Linked DNA regions of Kluyveromyces lactis. The protein of the gene in region 1 purifies or fractionates together with the protein of each later gene. This does not show direct contact. Links are inferred from orthologs where the notes say so. Each region holds a gene or a part of one and is shown in the gene's direction. Other genes may lie near its edges.

Region 1 (2,576 bases):
CCTCTTCTATGGAAGAGGAGCCGATAGACTCTAGCCAATTCGTCTTCATTATCGTTTCCAGATGTGCGACCGTCATTACAATTACCATTAACACTACCATTCTTTTTCCCCATATTATCTACTGTGAGAGGAGTTTGTGGCGTATCCGGTGTATTATTCTGACGAATACCCATAAATGGTATTGTTTCCCCTTGCACTGCGGACGCCGATAGTAATGCATCGTCCCGTAGTTCATTTGAGATCCACTCGTTCCCAGGAAACAACAAAGAATTCATATCGAATTCGAATAGGGAATGAAGCTGCTGCGCAGATGTATGATCATCATTAGCAGATGATGATTCCATATCTTCTGGAGTGCATAAATTTGTGCCCTCTTTCGAATCTGAATCAGCAGTTTTAACCTTATTTTTCTTATTAGCTAGTTTCTTCTGAGCTTTTTCGATGGCATTAATGAAAACTTGATTCTTCTTACGTTTCTTCCGTGGCACGTACCTTTTTTTGACCTTATCTGTGCCTTTGAACACACCAAATTTCTTTATAATCCAAGTCTTGTCTTCAGAGATGAGCTCTAAAGGAGGAGAGCTTAACGCTGATAATTCATCGTCCATATCCTCATAATACACATATTCCTCTTTGTACCGAACGAAATCAACGTTTCTTCTCTGATACTGAGGCTCATCTGGATCTTTGATTCCTGTAGGTGTTGCGGTCACATTACCCATAGTGTCAAACTGAATTGGCCGGGTCCACCGAAGTTTTACATCGTATCCTCCACATATTAACCCACCTTTCTCACATCGCTCACATCCGGGCCGCCGAAGATCACACTTTACTTTCCTTGATCTACATGTCCAGCATCCCGTGAACGTCTTCACTCTGGGCTTCGCAGGCTTCATTCCTGCTTGTATCCTCTTTGACTCACAGTCGCTGTGAAGGAAAAATAGCCTCCAATATTTACCAAACCTTCAATATCAACCACACGCAGATGAGCGTCTAAATGATGCCACTGTTGGAACAATAATATCTACTAAAACCTTATCTTGAGCGGTACTAATCGGTTTATTATCATTGCTCTGTTTATCTGATCCTCAGAAGATGCGATGTGGATCTGTCATGTCCTTTCCTCTGTTCGTCTTTTCTCAAAATTTTCACACAAGCGGAAGGGTTAGGCGATTTGTCAATTTCTTTCTCGCTAAAAAGCTCCCTATATAGCTTAACTGTTGGATGGACTGCGCATGATATTTGGGGACAAAAAAACGCAAGCGATTTTTTGCTGCGAAAAAAAAAAAAGCAAACTCGCACTATTCTTCGCTGTGTTTAAGTTGACAGTTTGACATAAAACTCAGAACCAGAATCAAAATCACGAAACAATGATCAAGCTATACAGTTTAGCTTATAGCGCATTCGTCCATTCCATGGAGTAGAGCTGACTAGTCGGTTGGAGTTCTAGATCAACACAGGAATGTCCAGAAGAATTCGTAAAACAAGTCTTTTCAGTAAAGATGTTGGCTCTTTGATGTATGCGTTTGGTGATGTCGCGCAACCTTTACCAGAGACCATTCAATGTGTAGACGAATTGGTGGTGTCTTATTTGAGCGATATATGTGCCAATGCGTACTACTCGGCTCAAACCGTGAAGAGGAATAAGATTAAAGTGGAAGATTTCAGATTTGTACTTCGAAAGGACGAGGTGAAATTAGGTAGAGCTGAAGAGTTGATTAAGATGAATAAAGTTATTACCGATGCCAGGAAACAATTTGATAATTCAGAGGGGAAATCTTTGAAACGAGTGAAAGATGACGGTGATGATGACCACATTTCGGCTGATGAAGATGAGGAGACGACAACGGTTCCTGAACCCGTTCCTACCTCACGTCCGGTAGGCAGACCAAGGAAAAAGGGAAATGAACCTCCTAAGAAGAAGAAACGGGAAACAAGCTGAGAGTTACATTCGCATTACCCCTAGCATATCTGTACTTGAAATCCTTCTCTTGCTGGGCAAAAGAAGTGAAAAAACAAAGCAATCCTCATATAAATTCTATCATTATAGTATTACGCCTTTCTGAACAAAATGCCATATTTATGCATACTTAGCGGCAACATATACGTTTATTTTTTCTATTAGCTATATATTAACCAAATGAATAGCTTATGAGAGGGTATTATTTGAACATAATCACCTTTATCTTCATAATTGGAATTTTCAGCTGGTTCTCCTGTAGTTCTTAATATCTATAAACAAATTGTCATATAAAATGACAATTTGAGAGGTTTTTAATCTATTCTTCGTAGTTGTAGGATGGATATTCAAGCTCCTCTCCTTCTTCGAGATAGTTTGGAACACCAATAAACTTGTTCCAGAGTTTATTGAGCTTTAGTACAGTGTACTTACTAACAGTGGAAGGTAGGTCCGTATAACTTGTTACGATAAACCGCAACGCTTGCTTGAAATTCTTCCATTCTACATCCCATGCTTCTTTGAATACACCGCTGGCCTGTTCACGAACTTCGGTATGTGTTTCTTTCTTCTTCTCTGGCATTTTTAGATCATTGAATTCATTTACCTTCTTTTCTAC
Region 2 (4,204 bases), on another chromosome or scaffold:
ACCAACTCTGGAACGTTGGAAATTTGGATGTGACGTTGACCAAATGGCGTAGGGTCAATTTGATCGTAACCGGCACCATTGTGACAAATAGCAACAACGGATTCCGGCAATGCCTTAGCCAATTCAGCATCAAATCTTCCAGTGTTCTTAACACTTGGGAACGTTCTGGTTAAGATTTGAGCCTTAGAAATTGGTGATTCCGGATCCTGACATTGATCTAAGAATTGAGCTCTTGTGAGGGATGGGTCAATTGGAATAACTTGTGCAATCTTTGAAAGCTCTTCCCATGCCTTTTGAGCGTACTTAACCTGACCTAATCTTAAAACAACTGGCTTTGACATCTTCACTTGATGCTGTCTTATCAACCTATCCGATCTCTTCAGTGACCTTCAGAAAGAAATTGGTATAGACTTTACGAATAGCGAAGATATAATTTAATGGTAATACCTCCCCTACTATATACTATAAAGGTGCAATTGAAGTGTCAAGTCGATACCGTCGCCTTTGCAATTGCTGTAACCTTATAAAGGTTTTGATGTTCGGTAGTGGTTTTTCCTGATTGCGTTGCAAAAACTCGTAAGAAGATACCCATGCAGCGTTTTTAATGATTACAAACAAGAAACAGATAGATAGATAGATAGAGAGATAGACAGAAGACATTCAAAAAATTCCGGTTAATACATCCTTTCATCTTGTGACCACCCGGAGCTTCCATCATCTGATAAACTAAGCATGCTATACTGCAACCCATAACACTTCACTTATGGATCATGTAATGCGAAGAGAAATGGATTGCTGTGTCAATCGCCCCTAACACGGTACCGTGGTTTCGAGATACGGGCAAAATTCCCGTTTTTCCTATTCCAACCACATGCCATTTTTACCTGAAGAGTGGGTAGAGAGAGTGTCGCCAGGTATTAACAGCTTTCCAAAGAGAAAGACAATCACGTGGTTCAAGGTGGAATGAATGAATGAATGTTCAACCGCCGCTGATGCCTTGTCATCCTAACCCGCATTACCCGGATAAATTTCTCGCATGGTCAATATTCAAACAAACAAAATCTTGAAATTTGAATAATATATATGCATCTGTATATGATATTATTATTATATACGTTGAATTGATATTGAAGGTATACTTAGAGATGCTTCGAAACGTGATATAGATAGAGGCACCAGACGGAATTGATCAGACGTTGAAACTTAAGCACTAAACTACGATTCTATTTGCGGTACTTCTGTACTTTGAATTTCAAACACAGAATATGGTACAAATGAAATCGACACCTAAGACACCAGGTTCGGCGTACCCAGTAGTGGAACAACAATTTGGACCACAATTCAAGGTTGCCCATCAGAGAGTACAGATAGATGTGGACCTTTCGAAGAACTGTATAGTGGGTACTACTGAGATGATTATTATGCCATTGACCCCTAATCTCGAATATATAGCTTTGGATTGTAAGAATATGAGAATAAAGGATATCATCTTTGAGAACAGACGGTTGGATAATTTTGTGCATGATGATCCTTACAAAAAACTGTCAGACTCTTACTTGAATAATTCTGAGGATGATATACTCTACAACTGTAACGGCATAGAACAGAGCCATCTATTAAGAAAGAAATTTTCAGAGTTTAACCATAATCCTGAAGGTTCATCCAAATCGCAGCTATTAGTTAAAGTGCCCTCCTCTGTGAAGATTCTGCCGCATGACGTAAACACCCTATCTGCGTACTTAGGAACCGCTGCTGGTACTTCCGGTATAACTCCCTCGTTAAGAAACACCCCGAGCACTTTCCCTAACGACACAATATATACCCCGTTGACTTTACGGGTAGACTACGAATTGGACCATCCACACACAGGTGTTTGCTTTGATACCATATCCCCTGAACCTCATCTTTGGAATGCTTATACAACAAACTCAGAACTAAATAGTTCTGTATCACATTGGTTACCATGCATAGACTCCTTGGATGAGAAATGCACATGGGATTTAGAAATATCAGTACCTAAGAGGGTGCGGGACATAGGAACCACTAAAGTTGTTGGTGCAAGAAACCTACGAAAGAGGACTGCAAGAGATAGGAGATCCAATTTGAATGCGAATGATGAACATATGAAGGAGGAAGACGATGATGAAGATGACGAAGATGAAGAGGAAGAGGATGATGAGGATGAGGATGGGACTATCCAAAACGAAGATCTGAATAGAGAAATCGTGGTCGTATGTTCTGAAATGGCAACGAGAAAGGTAACTGCCCATCCAATGGATATGGCAAAGAAGACAGTTTCCTTCCAGATATTCACTCCCGTGGCCCCACACCACATCGGTTGGGCTATCGGTGCCTTCCAGACTATAGAACTACCTTCAATCTTACAGGCCGATGAAGATGAAGAGATGGATGAATTTAAAATACCGCAACAGGAGCAAGTGTTAGCTGATGAGCCTCGTGATGAAATTCCTATATTTGTTTACACATTGCCAACTGTCGATTTGAACGAAAAAACTATCCTCAATTCTACTCTTGTTTGCCAGGAAATTATGGATTTCTATTCTAAAGAGTTTGGTTCATATCCTTTTACCTCGTACTCTTTGCTGTTTTTACCAACTTTAACGACTGACCTGATGGATTTCACAAGCGCCACCTTTTATAATTCCAGAATGCTATATCCTCCAGAAATTATAGACTTAATTTATCCTACAACCAACACACTTGCATGGGGTTTAGCAAACCAATGGTCTGGCGTTAACATCACTCCTCTAGAATTGAATGATTTATGGTGCGTTGTTGGCATGGCGGGATACATGGTATTACAATTAATACGAAAGCTCATGGGTGTCAATGAGTACAAATTCAGGATCAAAATGGCATCGGAAGCCATAGTTGAACAGGATTGGGAAAAACAGCCAATCGGAACTACTTTTGATTCTGCTTCTTTACCTATATCAACTCTATCAAAGGAAATTAATTTTATAAAATTAAAGGCTCCAATGGTGCTTTTTATTCTCGATAGAAGAATGACAAAAACAGAAAGGTCATTCGGTATGTCCCGAGTATTGCCCAAAATATACTTACAAGCTATGTCAGGGGAATTGACCAATAACTCATTGTCTAGTACCCATTTTCAGAGAGTGTGTGAACGTGTGAACAAAAATAGACTCGAAACTTTCTTCAAGCAATGGGTATACGGATCCGGTGTTCCAATATTCCGCATAACGCAAAGATTTAACAAAAAGAGAATGGCAGTTGAAATGGGCATCAGACAAGTTCAGATGCAGGAATTAGGATTAGGTAAAATCGTTGGAAAAGAAAATTTCAATTCTAGTGCTATGGAATATTTGCAAGATCAAGACAAATCTCCTACTCAGGTGTTCACCGGATCCATGACAATCAGAATCCATGAAGCTGACGGAACTCCGTATGAACATATTGTTGAACTAAAGGATGTATTTACAAAATTGGATGTTCAGTATAACACTAAATATAAAAGGTTAAAGAGAAGAAGGAAGGTTAATAGAGTGACAAAGGAAGCGAAAGAGGAAATCAATGAGGATACACAGGAGGAGGAAAATGCCAACGAAGATATAGTGCTTATTAATTGTATGGGGGATGTACTCGTTAGCAAAGATGACTGTAATAAATGGAATTTAACAGACCCAATGACAACTTCAGAAGGCGATGACTTACAGCAGCAGAATGAGGCTTTCGAATGGATAAGAATAGACTCCGATTTTGAGTGGATTTCGAAAGTGCACATTAATCAACCTGATTATATGTTTGCCTCTCAGTTACAACAAGATAGAGACGTGGAAGCGCAAGTGGAAAGTGTCAGGTTTTTTGAAGATGTGATTTTGAACGGCACATCTAATTCCCTTATATATTCCTCCATTCTCACTCGAACAGCAATGGATCCAAAATACTTTCATGGTGTCCGTCTTGCTGCTTGTAGAGCACTTTCAAAATTTACAATTAAAGCTGAAGAACAGCAAGAATTCAAGGGAGGCCCAAGGCATCTGGTTCAAATATTCAGGGAGCTTTTCTGTTACGAGGACTCTAATATTCCCAAAAACAATGACTTTTCCGACTATCCAAAATATTTCTTGCAGAAAGCAATCCCAAAACTTCTTTCTTCAGTGAAAAATGATGAGGGTGTTTGCCCTGCATTTGTTAAGGAATTCTTGCTTGATGTAGTGCG

Evidence for each region. Proteins that work in one complex are often made in the same cells at the same time.
Region 2: the proteins of TAF13 (region 1) and TAF2 purify together in Saccharomyces cerevisiae (affinity purification with mass spectrometry; 4 studies listed by BioGRID). This does not show direct contact. The link is inferred for Kluyveromyces lactis from reciprocal best matches to the Saccharomyces cerevisiae genes TAF13 and TAF2.

The regions. Positions count from the first base shown.
Region 1 is NC_006040.1:863,401-865,976, forward strand, and holds TAF13 (Taf13p), read left to right. Parts: upstream 1-1,462; coding exon 1,463-1,942; downstream 1,943-2,576. Other genes in the region: ARG81 (Arg81p), read right to left, coding at 1-896; ERO1 (ER oxidoreductin), read right to left, coding at 2,280-2,576. UniProt on the Saccharomyces cerevisiae protein: Functions as a component of the DNA-binding general transcription factor complex TFIID. Binding of TFIID to a promoter (with or without TATA element) is the initial step in pre-initiation complex (PIC) formation.
Region 2 is NC_006039.1:177,279-181,482, forward strand, and holds the start of TAF2 (transcription initiation factor TFIID subunit TAF2), read left to right. Parts: upstream 1-1,265; coding exon 1,266-4,204. Other genes in the region: GOR1 (glyoxylate reductase), read right to left, coding at 1-341. UniProt on the Saccharomyces cerevisiae protein: Functions as a component of the DNA-binding general transcription factor complex TFIID. Binding of TFIID to a promoter (with or without TATA element) is the initial step in pre-initiation complex (PIC) formation.